Linked DNA regions of Drosophila melanogaster. The protein of the gene in region 1 interacts with the protein of each later gene in a pairwise test. Each region holds a gene or a part of one and is shown on either strand. Other genes may lie near its edges.

Evidence for each region.
Region 2: the proteins of yl (region 1) and Lztr1 interact in a two-hybrid assay, tested with the Drosophila melanogaster proteins (one large-scale study listed by BioGRID).

The regions. Positions count from the first base shown.
Region 1 is NC_004354.4:14,191,283-14,199,684, reverse strand, and holds the start of yl (yolkless), read right to left. Parts: upstream 6,472-8,402; 5' UTR 6,307-6,471; coding exon 5,934-6,306; intron 5,673-5,933; coding exon 5,259-5,672; intron 5,188-5,258; coding exon 2,638-5,187; intron 2,576-2,637; coding exon 141-2,575; coding exon of another isoform or gene 99-140; exon of another isoform or gene 64-98; coding exon 1-63. Other genes in the region: CG13403 (uncharacterized protein), read left to right, coding at 7,699-7,806, 7,961-8,329. UniProt on the Drosophila melanogaster protein: Cell surface receptor involved in uptake of vitellogenins (yolk proteins) into developing oocytes by receptor-mediated endocytosis. May also mediate uptake of apolpp/apolipophorins and their incorporation into yolk granules.
Region 2 is NC_004354.4:922,389-929,214, forward strand, and holds Lztr1 (leucine zipper like transcription regulator 1), read right to left. Parts: upstream 5,195-6,826; 5' UTR 5,060-5,194; coding exon 4,308-5,059; intron 4,246-4,307; coding exon 2,830-4,245; intron 2,761-2,829; coding exon 2,585-2,760; intron 2,530-2,584; coding exon 2,351-2,529; intron 2,231-2,350; coding exon 1,826-2,230; coding exon of another isoform or gene 1,757-1,825; 3' UTR 1,217-1,756; intron 1,164-1,216; 3' UTR 501-1,163; downstream 1-500. Other genes in the region: MED22 (mediator complex subunit 22), read left to right, coding at 5,828-5,939, 5,996-6,097, 6,162-6,379; CG3708 (uncharacterized protein), read right to left, coding at 6,508-6,826. UniProt on the Drosophila melanogaster protein: Inhibitor of Ras signaling. Acts as a substrate-specific adapter of a BCR (BTB-CUL3-RBX1) E3 ubiquitin-protein ligase complex that mediates ubiquitination of Ras. Together with Nf1, plays an important role for normal sleep behavior, mainly during the night.

The sequences.
Region 1 (8,402 bases):
TCCGCGTCCGCCATCGCCATCGCCTCCGGCCCCACCTCCGTCCAGCGCATGTAGTTTGCTTTCCTGTTGAGCAGACGATAGTAGTAAGGGGGCAATCGTCACATATCTTCCACGGCCATCTGACCCCCATCGCTACTCACTCTGCTGGGGCTCTCGAGAAGCAATTCCTGAGCCATCGGATCGCCGGACGCCGACTGTCGTGGACGGAGCAGTCGCTGGAGCGCATTCGGCACACTAAACTGCTGAGCCGCGAACGAGGACGTGGCGCTGGTGGTGGTGAATGTGTCGTTGCTGCCGCGGCTGGACACCGTTCCCGTTTCCGTGGTGAAGCCGACTCCCGCCTCGGCGCGTTCGTGCTCCAGGAACGCTTTGGTGCCGCCGAGCGTCGCCAGCGGATTCTGGAAATGCATGTTAATGTTGAGATCCGTGTGGCCGCGCTGCCGGTACTGATAGTACATGTACCCGAGTCCGGCGATCAGTGATCCGGCGGCTAGGACGAACAGTGCCATCAGCCAGTGAAAGTGACCGTTCTGCTCGTGTTCATGTTCCAATTCCAGGCTGTTGACCGCACCCAACACGGCCACCTCATTGCCAGAGCCATGGGGACACCGTTCGCCTTCGGCCACCAGACGATTGCCACACATGCATTCGTAACCGTAGTCCGCCTGCAGGCACAGTCCATGGCAGTGGGCATGGGCGCATGGATGCGACGCCTTCTGCGGCTGACGCGACCTGCCCGCCACCACAATGTCCTGGGCGTTCAGCACGTTAATGCTGATCTTGTGACAGATGCGGGATCCGTACAGTGCGCACTGCACCGCCTCCACGGAGCCCAGGTTCACGATGAACGCATTATTTTCGTACACACTCAGCCCAGATGGATGCATCAGAGCGTTGGACTTTTGCAGCATTATCTCCGGTCGACGCATGGGACCCGTTTTAAGCCTATAGCTAATCCTCTCCAGCGTGCGCATATGCTGGTCCACAAAGTACAATAGCTGCTGATGCGGATCGGTGGTCAGGGCGGTCATGAAGCTTTCGCTTCGCTGCAGCAGCATATCCCTGCGACTGCCGTCCAGTCGAGCCATGTGAATCTCCGAGCTCGTCTGGCCATAGCCCTCGGTGCGTATGACTATGTAGAAGATCCGGGCGTGATAGCCATCCACAGCCAAATGCTTAACGTGCCTGGGACTCTTCACGTGCACAATGCGGCCGCACATGCGTCCCACGAAACTGCACGCTTGGATCTCCTGCGCTCCACTGAGCACATAAACATTTCCGGTGACCCAATCCACGGAGAGTTTCGTCGGTGCGGGCAGACCCAGAGCCCGCACAATCACCTTCGTTTGCAGATCGATCTGATAGACGATGCCCTCGTCCTCGGCGGAAAAGTAACCCATTTGCCGGTGCATGGCCAGATCGAAACCGGTGATCCTCGAATCATTCGCCGACCAGGCCACATTGAGCATAACGGGCTGTTCGCTTAGGTTTCGCACTTCGTTGAAGCTGCTGAAGAGCAGAGTGGCGCCAGACTGCAGGCTCTTGCAGCTAACGCGATCCTGGCGCAGCATAAAGTCCGCATGGCACTGGCACTGATAGCCGCCGAGGGTATTCTCGCATAGCTGAGCGCATGGCTGCTGCTCCTGGCACTCGTCAATGTCTAAACAGCTCTTCTGATCCGCGTCCAGGCGATAGCCATCGAAGCAGGAGCACACGGCGCCGGCTGGTGTGGCGCGGCACTTGTGCTGGCACACCTGGCGACCCGATGCCGAACGGCAGGCGGTGGCGCACTTGGGTCCCTCGTCGTGGCCGTTGGTACAGTCCGGGAAATTGTTGCATACCCGCGACAAGTCCACGCACTCGCCGTCTTGACAATCGAAGAGATGTGGCCGACAGGATCGGCTCGAGGTGCTCCACGGCTGAATTTGGCTCTGATTGTGATGGCCCTTTTCCAGTTCGCAGCTCAACTCGTCACTGCCGTCGCCGCAGTCCTTCTGGCCATCGCAGCGGAACTCCCGCCGGATGCACTCTCGACCGGAGCGGCACTTGAACTCATATATGCTGCACACATCACCGCAATCGGCCTCATCCTCGCCGCGCGGACACTCGGTGGTGCCATTGCAGCGAACCGTAGACGGCAGACAGATCTTGAGATTGCTCGTGCATTGGTATTGATCTTCCGCGCAGGATATGTTCATCGTGGATGAGTCCGTGCCGCAATTCAGTTCGTCGGACTTATCGCCACAGTCGTTGTGGCCATCGCACACCAGACTCCGGTCCAGACACTGACCCAACAGACAGCGCTGCATGTCCGGCGGACAGCTGCGATGGACACACTTGTCGTGCTCGTCGGATCCGTCGCTACAATCGATCCGCCCGTCGCACTCCCAGCTGCCCGCTATGCAGGATCCGCTGCCGCACTGGAACATTCCCGGTTCGCATCGCGATGTCGCCTCGCACAGCAATTCGTCGGAATTATCGCCGCAATCATTGGTTCCATCGCACACCAGGCTCGAGTCCACGCACTTTCCATTGTCGCACCCGTGCTGATGGACATGGCACTTCTTGCTCTTGTCTGTGGAGTAGAGAGAGTATTCAAATTCAAATTATCCACCAAGTGCAGCTCGTTTCGCTTACCGAACTTCTCGCAGTGCTGCTCATCCGAATGGTCGTGGCAATCCTTGCGATTGTCGCATCGCCGCTCCTTGTCGACGCACTGCTCCCCGCTGTGGCAGGCGAATTGGTTGGGCGAGCACAGAACCTTTGGCTTGCGCCGATGCTCCTCGTCGCAGTTCATCTCATCCGAATTGTCCACGCAATCGCGTCGTCCGTTGCAACGGTGATTCATTGTGAGGCACTCGCCACTGTGGCAACGGAACTCACAGTCCAGAGCCTCCACGCAGGTGCGGTTACCCGCATCCCGGTAAACGAATCCGGCCGGACATAGACAGATCGAGTGGTAGGGTCCCTCGCCCACACAGATGTGCGAACAGCCGCCATTCTGCTGCTGGCAGGGATGCGATTCCTGGCCGACGGGTGAGCTGGCGGCCAGCGGAATTCCATTGGGCGTGGCCACAGGCACGTACGGCATAATGGCGGCCGGATCGTCCTTCTCCATTATATCGATCACCTTTCGCGGCCCCATATTGCTCTTGTGCGTCCAGTAAATCCTTGGCGTACCCAATTCATTCCAAAACAGATCGTGATGCACCATGGCCAGGCTATAGGGACGCCTAAGCTTGCCCCGAAAGATTTGGCTGTGCGGCACCCTGTAATTCGAGTAGCTAATCCTGCCCAGATCGCTGTCTGACCAAAAGATCGTTTGGGTCTCGTAATCGGTGACCAGCTTGATATCATCATCGCCCAGATCGTCCTCGAATACATGCACCTGTTCGCCCTTGCCGCTCAGCGGTATCTTGTCAATGTGGCTGTGCCGCTTGGCCTTGAGCACAACATACAGATAGCCCTCCGCGGGCATAACAGTGAGTCCAATTGGCACCTCCTGGCCCGGAAAGAAGCGGATCAGCGCACGATGGCGCGTCTGCAGTGAGAGCACCTCAATCACAGCCCGCTCCGTATCCGCCCAGTATAGATTCCTGCTCAAATGATCGAAGGCCAGGGCACTCACATTGCCCAAATTGGAGCGGACCAGGACGTTGCTCTCGTGCGACTCTGGCTGAAACTCCAGGATCAGTCGCTGGTCATTGTCCGCTATTATCAGGCTGCCATTGATGCGATTGTACACCATTTCGTTGATCAAGCAGGGCAGCGTGTATGACTTGCTCACCTGATGGCGCCCAAAGGCGGTGTGCTCGATCTCGAGCAGCACCTGACCGAGGCCAATGAACAATCGTTGGCGCTTCTCCATTAGCATGCAGCGCCGATGATCCGGCGCCAGCCGCATGCCATCCGGACAGGCGCAGCTGTGACCACCGATTTCGGGTTCGGCCAGCAGGCATAGGTGCGAGCATGTGGCATTTTCGCAACCATGCGGCGAGTTGGGCTGCTTGGCCGGATGATAGATGTGTACGGCGTAAATGGTACGATCCTTGGCCAGGATGCGATGATCCTTGCCGGAGAATTTGTGACACGCATGCACACTCTTCGTTGCCCAATCTGACCAGTACAGCTGATCCTCGAATATGGCCAGGCCATAGGGATGCTTCAGCATGCCGTCCAGCACCGTGCGCCGACCAGTGCCGTCGGGTCGAACCGTTTGCACGCTGCCCAACTTGGCATCCACCCAGTAGATCCTTTGCTGGTGCATGTCCAGCGCAATACCATTGGGCCATTCGATATTATCGCTGACAATCGGTCGCGACCGACTGCCGTCCATGGATGCGCGCCCTATCATGGGCTTCTCACCCCAATCCGTCCAGAACATCAAGCCCTTCTGGGGCCAAACAGCCAGTGATCGCGGCTGGTGAACATCCTGGGTGACCAGAACGGCACAGTTTAGTCCATCGTTCGAGCACACGGCTATGTGCCGCATTATGTTGTCCGAGAAGTAAATGTTCTGCGTCAGCCAATCGACAGCCAGGTCCTCTGGTGCATCCAGGCCGGAGGTCAGCAAAATTTCCGCATTCGAACCGTCTCCGTTAGCCTTCACAATGCTCTCCGCTTCGTTCTGGATGTTGGTCCAATAGATGTGGCTGCCATCGTAGGCCACGCCAATGACCTTGCTCAGATTCCCGGCCACCTGGTAGACATGATTTCGTACGTTATCCTCGCGCAGATGCATTCCCATAATCGTCATCTGGGTGGTGTACAGCAGAAGGGGCTGCTGTTCCTTAGAGCCGTAAACGACTGCGCGACACGTACGATTATCCTTGTCCAGCAGATAGCCCGCATCACAGACGCATCGATATCCGCCCGATGTGTTCTCGCATCCCTGGCTGCACAAATCATCTTGCTCCTTGCACTCGTCAACGTCCTCGCACTTGTCCTCGAATTTAGCCAGCCGGAATCCCTTTGGGCAGAAGCACTCGGCTCCGCTGGCAGGCATCATGTGGCATTTGGCTCCCAGCGCACACTTCTTCGCATCGCAGTCCGGCTTGGAGTGACAGAGGTCGGTCTCATCGCTGCCGTCGGAACAGTCGCTGTGCCCATCGCACACTTCGCTCAGGGTCAGACAGGTTTCTCGGTTCCGGCATAGGAATTTCCCCTTTTGTGGCTCACATAGATTTACTGAAATGATGCCGAGTCGCATGTTTCAAGAGCATCAGGCTTGGAGTATCCAACAAAGAATTTTAACTTACAGCATCCTCGTTCGTCGCTTCCATCGCCGCAATCGTCAACGCCATCGCAGACCCACTGCTTCCGGCGCAAGCACCGTCCGTTGGCGCACAGGTGACCCTCGCCGGGGCAGGTGATCTCCGCCTGCTTGCAGCCAGCCACCTCGTCCGACTTGTCCGTGCAATCCGGCCGGCCGTCGCACATGAAATCAATGGGAATGCAGGTGCGATCCTGCTGGCACATGAACTCGTACTTGCTGCAGCTGCGCATGCGATGAGCGGTGTCACCGAATCGGAATCCTGGCCGCACCGGGCAGTTGAGCTCATCCTCGCCGCCGGGACAGTTGTCGATGCCGTTGCACATTAGTTCCGCTGCCAGGCAGGCTCCGTGTGGCTGGGCACACGGGAACCAATGTGGCGGTCGGCACAGTCGGTAGTCTGGATATCCGGATTGGAATGAAGATTATATGTTATTCAACTACATATAAGATTGTCACAACACGTTTATATATTATTGGATATATTAGTCTCACTAGTAAATTCATTGGAATATGGGGATGTGGCATCTCTAGATAGGATTCCCTAACCATCAAAATTATAGCTAAAGAAATCTGGTTAATCCGACTCCATAGTAGCTATGCCCTCTCCATTTAAAGCCACCCCCTGCTGAACGACGGCATTGATTCCACCCATGCTCACCGCAGTCCAATTCATCCGAGCTGTCCTTGCAGTCTCCGCGTCCGTCGCACATCTTCGCCTGTAAGATGCAGCCGCCGTCTCTGCACTGGAATTGTCCCGCATCGCACCGCGTGTCCGCTGATCCCGGCGTGCCGGCAGCAGTACCACCGCAAAGTCCCACGAGCAGGAGCAGCGAGATTGCCACGTGGCGTCCATTGATGATCAGATGTGTTCGCTGGCAATTTCCGTATCGACTGGACGTTGAGCCACCACTGGATGGGTGAGCGCGTGTCTGCGAGGTTAGGTTGAATCCTCGCCGGCTGGCGGTCATCTTCGGGCTCTCTACCCGGATCCTTTGCTCGCTGGGGTGCACCTGGTGCTCGGCCTGGCACATTTAACACGAAACACACACAATTTGAACGATGATTAACACGCAGGACTGGTTAATTGAAATTAAAACGGGAATGGGAAACAGAAAGTATGGCTTGCAGCTTGGAAAGCTGAAAGCGAATTGAACGAGGAAAACCGTTCGGTTCCAACGGAACACGTCGATCAGGGCAGGGCTTTGGAAAAGCACCGTTATTTCGGAGTGACCAGATGCCAGATGGTTGTACACCGATATAAACCGTTTGGTAATAGTTTAATTGGTATTTAAAACTACATATTTTAAGGCGCCAAATTTGAAAACAGTTTCATCATAAAAGCTCACAGCAATTTATTCCAGTGCATGCCAAATACCGTACCTGGGTGGCAACGCCGTTCGACATCAATTTAAAAACTTGACCATCAAATATCGCAAAAGGATTGCACCAAATACAGCGTGATTAATTGCCCGTTCATGATGTCAGCGGTGTCTGGAAATTTACAAAAAAAAAAACCAAATTATTGCAGTGGGAAACGACGGGATCCGAAACAGAAACCGACACAGAAACATTTACCCATTTGGATGACCCATTGCAACAATTAATAACGGTTATGCCCGCAAGATTTATGAGCAACGACAGATAAACAAGACCGAAGCGTTTTGGCCGCCTCAACCGCCAAATGTCATAAAAAATCAGAGACAAAACCCGAATTGCTGAATTGCTTAGAAACCAGAAGAGCACTCAGAAATTTGTATAATTAAGGAAAAGAGCGAGTGCGAGTTCGAATTCACACGCGGTAGGGGGCGTGCCGCGCTCGTAAAAACAAAACTAACGCGAAGCCAAACCCAAATCTGGGAATACACTGGAAGAAATTAGCAGGTGCAGCTTATATTACATTTAATTTTCTTTACTAAGAATTCGAACATACATATATTTCTGAACAATTATGGAACTAGGGCAACTTACCCATATTACTTTAATGCAGTCGAAATTAAATATTTACAACTTCAATCAAATTTTACTTATTGTATTGTATCATTGTCTTGGTATATTTATTCCAATAAGAAAAAATACTGGCTTAGCACTAGATTTTCTCCGTGTGCATGGACTCCATAAGGCGAACGTGGTTTTTCCACGTCGAGACAATTTGTTGCTTCTATGCCGGATGAGTCGTGGGACATCGAACGAGCCGCGATGACAAGCGAACATGACGAACTTCTCGGAGCATCTGGGACTTCTATGGAGTCTATGGAGACCACTCTGCCGTCCGGTTGCCTGCCACCGCCTGGCCCGTTGAGTAATGGGCCCCGTCCGCCGTCGACATGTCCGTCGCGCCAAGGCGTTAAAATCATCAGTTGTAAAGTATCTGGGGTGCACATCGCGATTTGCGCTTGCCAGCGTATAAAAACTACACTCGGTCGATGGATCAGCAACAGTTGATCGCCAGCGTCCATCCGGTGCATACACAGCTACAGGAATTCCAATCCTCTCAAGCAACACACCGAGCTTACCCAAAAGTTCCCGCAATGGTAAGGGCTCAAGACGAGCGTGATTGAATGCTCCTCCTTGCAAGCAATTTTTTAAATTTTAACATATATTTAGAACAAAGCCTCTTTAAAGCACAACGTTGCATACTTTAAGTGACTCCCAGTGCTTTTTAATCCCACGATTCCTTGTCCGCAGAACTCCGTAACCGTACTCGCCATCTTCGCCGCCTCCTTGGCCTTCTGTGCCGGCGATGTGTCGCATTTGTCGCGCAGCTATCTGCCTCCTTTGAGCGGCGGCTACTCCGGCTACTCCTCCGGTTACTCCTCGTATCCATCGTACTCGAGCGGATCTGGTTATTACTCGGGTGGCGGCAGCTACGCCTCGCCAATCATCTCGTCCAGCTACAAGAACTACGCGGTGCCGCAGTACACAACCTATGCCACGCCATCGCGCACCTATTTGCCCGCGAATGCGGGCTACACCGGCTACTCCGGCTACTCGGGCTACTCCGGCTACAATGGATTGGACACCAAGTACGGCAGCAATGGTGGCTACGTCTACTAGGCGCTAATCAAGTTTTCGGGAGGCCAGCAACAATGGAGCCAGCAGACAAACTATATATTCCTCTAATCTTTTT
Region 2 (6,826 bases), about 13 Mb from region 1:
AACACGAAGCAGGCTGAACTCCACCTGAGAGGCAGGACTGGGCAAAATAATTTTCCCAGACTCCATGGCAATTCAATTCAATTCGGCTTACTGTCAGTTGTATCTGTAAGTGGCATTTCCATCTCGAAGAGAAGATCCTTCTAACCTGCTGCCGTTGGCATATTTGATTTTGTAATTTGCATTTGATAAGCGGCTCTGAGCAGGACTAACCCCCAAAGTGAAGTCCTTGTCATTGTCCTGGCCTTGGCTACAGTTTCGGCTGGCTTCCCGGGTTCTTGCCACCCCCGTACGGCAGCTCCAACTTGCGGCTGCAGCCTTTGTTTTGTTTTAATTCCATTGAAATACATTTATCTATGCCAAACCAGCTGGGAAAAACGCAGCCCAAAACAATTGGCTCAGTTTGTTTGTCTTGAATTCCATTATTTAGCCACGTTTTTTTGGTAAGCCCACAAAGATTTGCCATTTAACACAGATCAACAGTGCTAGCGTATGTGTATAATAATAATGTTTATTCTGAATTCTCGTCATATAGCAAAGACAGCAACTAAAACAAACGACGAAAAATATAACGAAAATATTCGAAATGAAACCAAAGATTCTTAAATATTGCTTAAACATAGTCACAATGCAATCATAAATAAACTGATTTATCACAATTTCGGAAACAAGAATTAAAATTTATATTCGAAGTCGAAAGAACTTCCGGCAAATCAGTAAAAACACAACGCTATAGTAAATTCAAACAATCGTAAACAAATTTGGCGATTTTTCACGTGGATGATGTGTCAGATGCTTTAATGGTTCCTTAGCTTATAACATTCAGTTTCATATATATATATATATATATATATATAGTTAAATACCAATTAAAACGAGTAGATTTAGATCTATATCAACTAGTAAGTTGTACTTGGGTATTAGTATAACATGAAGGGAAGACCCTCGGACTTCGGAGACTATAAGCCTATGACCCTTGCAAAATAAGTTAGTCTGCATTCCAAATGTTAGTATTATGAAATGTTTAGACATTCGGTTTTCGACTACAAAGCAGTTTTACGCAAGCTAGTTTTGCAAGGGTATTCAAATTTGTATATTTCCAACATATACAACTTTGTAAGGACCTAGAGTAGGATTCATCAGGTTAAAGCAAGGGTGCGTTCAATCTGAAAAAATATATAAGTGAAGGTTTCGGCTTTCAAAGTGTTCCCACACTCACCTTCGTGATTTAAGGTCCATTCGGTCCTTAAATCTCTTGGAGCAAAGACTGTGTACCTCCCTGACTGCAAAGTTCACTTCTAGATGCTTAAGTGGGAAAATTGGTATCCAAATGGTAAACTGCAACTATAAGGTTTAAAGATCAAGTGTTTTAACAAAACCTATAGTTTCGAGACAGAGAAGCCCAATACGATCTTATTTGAACCGATTGGAGGTGCATTCTTGGTTAATACTGAGTGCATATAGAGGGTTTATATATATGAGGCAGCATGCGCGATGCAAACTCTGCAGTAATTCACTCAAAGCGCGCCTGCTGGTGGCTTGTCCATCGCTCGCCTCATTTAAGAACAATAGCCATACCGTAGGTTTTCTGCATGAGTCGCGATCGCTTCGTCTCTCTCTTTCTGATGCAATATCTCAATGGGGTCGGGGTCTGTCGAGAATCGCTGACCAGATGCATGGGTGCGGCGATCGATGGGAGATGAATCGTTTAATGATAAATAAATTATGTGATTCGGCGCTGCCAACCGCTACTGCCGCATTACGTGCTACGTCCGATTTGCAACCAGGCGAGCAACAACTGCAATGCCGGCTGGAGCAGCACCAGTTTTCAGATATCTGTATTGATATTGATCCGCGTGAGAAACTCGCCGTGCGAATCGGCCACAGCGCGTATGATCTCCAGCAACAGTTCGCGCGACAAGCCGGCTATTTTCGGCAGCCTTGCGACCTTCGCAAAGTCCTTGACGATCAGCTTGAGAGCGTACTCCTTAATATCATAGATCTTTGTGATGTCTGAAGCCTCCAGCGTCTGCAGCACGTTCTCGAACGTAATGTTGTGCTCAAGAGAGTATTTGCAGAATGCGTGAAGCCGATTGTTGGCAAGGCCATAGAAGCACGGCGCCTGGAAGAGATAAAGTGCATCCTGCGGCGGCATCTTCGTCTCGCCGTAGTAGATGTAGCGCAGCAGGGAGTGGAACGCCTCAAGCGAGGGAGAAATCTCTCCAATTTGGATCTGGGTGAGAGCGGAATTGAATGTTACTCAGGATCAATACTGGCTTCAACAATTTAAATGTGTATACTATTATCACGGGAACTACTTATCAATCAGCGATTTCTACAAAGTTCAACTCACATTGACTGTGTTGTCCGGTGGCATAAAGGATCGGAACATGCCCTGAAAGTAGGTGCAGCGCGATGACAACACAGATTTGTGGGCTGGTATCACATGATCTTCTAGCACCAGGCTAATGTCGCAGAAATCTTTGCCAGTGGACTCCAAAAAGGCACACAGATCGATCTCCAAAGTGGTTCCTAATCAAAAATTATACCTTCAGCTACCAATTTGTCAACTATCGACGAACCGTACCTATATTGCCTTCATAGCTGGTATCTATCACCAGCTTGCTGGGATACAGGCGCTTGCGGATGATCTCGACCAGCAGAGGCTTGTCCAAATCGCTAAACTCACTGGACATGACCACGTCAGTGAAGTTCTCCTCCTTGATGATGAACTGCATGCAGTGATCCTTAATGATCTTAATACTGTGTTGGGGAGTGTTTACATAAATTAGTTTCATTTAAATACGATCCAAAGGCTATATCTGCTCTCACTTGCTCTTATCCGCATTGTAGAGCGCCTCCAGCACGTTAAGCTTGTTAATCTTGTAGTCCAAATACTGGATACAGCCGTGGGCCAGCCGCGGCATGGTAAACAAACCGGCAAGTTGGTAAATATCTGTGATCAGAATGATGATGTTCTTGCTGTAAGTGTCCTTCAAGTCAATTCGATCGGTGTAAATGTAATTCAATATGATTTCAAAGGCCTCGGGGGAGGCGTTGGCCAGTCGCACCTCCAACATGGGTCCGCGGTCCCCGCCCGCGCCCGCATTCAGAGCCAGTGCATCTACCTGGCCCACCCCGTAGACCTTCTCCATCTGCTGCTGGCGTGCCTCCCGGGCTGCCAAAATCTTGTTCCTCAGATACTTCGAGCGCGCCGCCACAAAGGCGATGTGTGCTAGTATGCGAATCTCCTCCGCTCCGACAATAAACTGAATGTCGCAGAACTGTTTGTCCTGGAAGAATTTTCCGAAGTCATCGCGCAGCGTGCACTTCGGGTACGACGAGAACTGGAAGCGATAGGTGTCGCCCCTTCTCACACTATTGTCCACGGTTCCGCCAAATATGTACATGGCATCGCAGATGACTGCCGAGGCATGGAACACTCTACCCGAAGGCACATCCGAATTCTGTTCAGGCTGGATGACGGACCAGACCTGCGAGTCTAGATCGTAGCAGTGTAAATCGTTGGGCAGCGTTGAGTCCGCCGATCCCCCGAAGACATACAGGAACCGATCGTGATGCACCATCGTGTGGCCATATCGTCGCGAGGGCGGAGCTGAGGTAGCGCCTCGCAAGACGGGCTCATTGGAAATGCGTCGCCAAGTTCGCGTCTTGAAGTGGAACTCAAAGAGCGAGTTCGTTATCTGCAAGCCACTCTGCCCCGAAAAGACGTACATGGCGTCCCTGGCCACTGCCACGGGGAAATTGCAGCACGTGGGCGGACGATCGCCCAGCTGATCCACCTCCTCCCACTGATTTTCACCGGTGAGGTTTAGCGTCCACATGTCGTTCAGCCGAGCATTGCCATCGTAGCCCGCATAGATCCACATTTTGTTGTCATACACGGCTGCTCCGTGAGCGGATCGAGGAACCGGCTGGCGTCCGGAGAACTTCCATTCCACCCACATGGCGCTCTGGAACTTGTATTCGAACAGATCGTTCTTGTTGGTCAAGTTTGAGTTGGAGTGAATGTCGCCGGTGTAACCCCCAAAGATGAACATAGAGCTGCCGGCCACCACCGCCGAGTGGTGGTATCGCGGAGCAGGCGGAGTTCCTGTTGCACATGCGCGGCCCCATGACTTGTCCTTAACGCCGAAGCGAATCAGGTCGTTTAGCATGTTCTTGCCGTTGTCACCTCCGAATACAAACATCGCATCCTTGTAGGCCACCACTGTGTGCTTGCTTCGCCTGATTGGGAAGAAAGGGATAGGGAATATAGATATTTTCATCTATATGGCTTCACAACTCACTTGGCGCCCACGAACTCGGCGCATTCGAGCATCCTGGTCCACTGATGCGTGGCCGTGTAGGAGGTGAAGTCCACGTTCAGGGCATTGCAGCTGTAGCTACCCGGGGAAGTGGCCTTTCCGCTTCCACTGCCACTTCCACTGCTGGCATTGCTTGCCGCGTCATATGCCATACTACATCCCGATCCTCCTGGTCCGCTGCTGCAGCTGCTGCCCGGAGGATGCGAGGAGGAGGCCGCTCCACCACCGCCATTCCCTCTAGAGCTTCTCATTGAACTGGACATGGACATTCGGAGATTCGCCCGTATGTGCTGGGCGTCTAAGCAGCCGGCGGTGGAGGCGCTTTTCCTGGCCTTGTTCCGTTTGCTCGACTTGAAGGAGCTGCGCAAGAAGAAACTCTCGTGGTGCGGACTCGAATTCTGGCTGGGACTCTGCTGATTGGCAGCTGCCATACAAGCGGGGCAATAAAGGATCCCGGCAGGAGTGCTGCCACCGCTGATGTTGGCTAATCCTCTGTCCCTGTCGCGATCCCGCTCAAATCCACCTCCGCCACTAGCTCCGGTCACAAATCCGCACACCGCACTCAATCCACTGGAAATCGAACTGGAGCCCAGCCCACAGCTAGCGCGCCCGCTTCCGCTGGTACTCCTGCTCCCAGAGGCGCTTCCTCCTGCTCCACCTCCTCCGCAGCCTCCTCCGCCACCACCTCGTTCCGTGGATGCCACGCCAACGCCTCCGCTGATCGACTTTAGCATTAATTCATCACACGCCGGAAGGATCCTCCGTCGTCCTCGTTGTGGGTAATCGTGCTCCGGTTTTCACAAATTCCAGATTTTATATGCAATTGTATACATTCGCAGCTTAACTCGTAGCTGTTATCGGCTATCGATAACGCAACAGTATAGCCATGGTATTTGGTATATTTCACACTGTTCGCTATAGTTCACACACATACACTCTCGCACGGAAGATTTAACTGAACCGAACCATTATAACGGTAGAAACTGTTAACTTTACTTTTCCAATAAAGAACTTGGAATTTAACTTAAAACTAAATGTTCCTTAGCATTGCCGCGTGGCGCCCACTTGAAATGGGTTCAATGTGGGGCAGGCGTGTCTCTTTGCCCATTCTTTTTAAATTTTTAAAATTGTGTGCAGACTCACCACGTTCTGGTGGCATTAGCGGCCGACGAGAATTTCGTCGCTGACTTCGTAGTTCATTTTGTTGGCTTGCATTTAAAGACGCCATCGAACGTAGGATATTTAAGCACAAACACAATTATTACGATTTTAACCAACCGCTTAACCAGAAAACTGAACTTTTTGTGACGCTTTGCAGTTGGCGGGCGGCATGTCTTTGGTATATAATGTGTGTCAAATGAATTTGCGTCAAGTTGGCGTCGGTGAGTTAGGACGGTATTTATGGTCGGAAAATACGTGGTCACACTGTACATATAAAAAACGACGAGAAGCGGGTTTGTCTAAAATAAATTGTTGAACTAAGTTAAGGTAGAATTAGGACAATGGCCAGCGGATCCAGGACAACCATTTTGCCCCAGTCGAAGGAGGCGCTTCTGAAGTCCTATAATGCGCGCCTCAAGGACGACGTTCGCAGCATGCTGGAGAATTTTGAAGGTAAGTGCGGCTCAGTTGCTCCGAGCAATAGATTGTAATACCGTGTTCTCCTCCAGAAATACTCAAGCTGGCGCGCCGTGAGAGCCACAGCCAGATTTCGAAGACCACGCAGTGCGAACAGGATGCCCTGGAAATGCAGGTCCGCGCGGCCAACATGGGTGAGTAAATCCACTCCCTGGGAACCAGATTCGAGCCATTTCCTTCATGCATTCCGCTTTATAGTCCGTGCCGGCGAGTCTCTGATGAAGCTGGTGGCCGACCTAAAACAGTACCTAATCCTCAACGACTTTCACTCGGTCAACGAGGCCATCACAAACAATTCGCAGCTGTTCAGGAACACACAGAGCGAGTGCGACAAGAAGCTGATGAAACTTAGGGACGAAATGGCCATGGACTTGTACGACCTGGAGGAGGAGTACTACACCAGCATTTTTAAGTAGCGCTAGGAGGGGAAGGGGTTCACCTTATTTGTGATGAACTGGCTTTGGCCGAACTGTAGAATTTAATAAGAAATCATTACCACATTCACTTGTAAATTTTGTTTAGCAAACAGCTAGTCGCGTCGCACTCACAAGACCTGCTCCTGTTCCGCCTCCGAGGACAAGGAGCGACTGTCCGGAGAGGCCGCGCTCAGGCTGTCAACTAGGTCGCCCGTGTAAAAGAGCACCGCCTTCGGGACGATTTGGGTGCGTAGCAGGAAGCCCACTTCGAAATCGTTGCCAAGGATCAGCTTGGTCTTTTCATCCGCGAGCGACAGGTCCAAGGCCTGCGGCGGAGCAAAGAAGCGAAAGAAGGACTCCCGAGGCATGACCTTGGTGACTCGGTGTGCTCTGTTCCTTCGCCTGCTTTCCACCGTTTGGAGAGTGAGATTGGAGCCATCGCGCCAG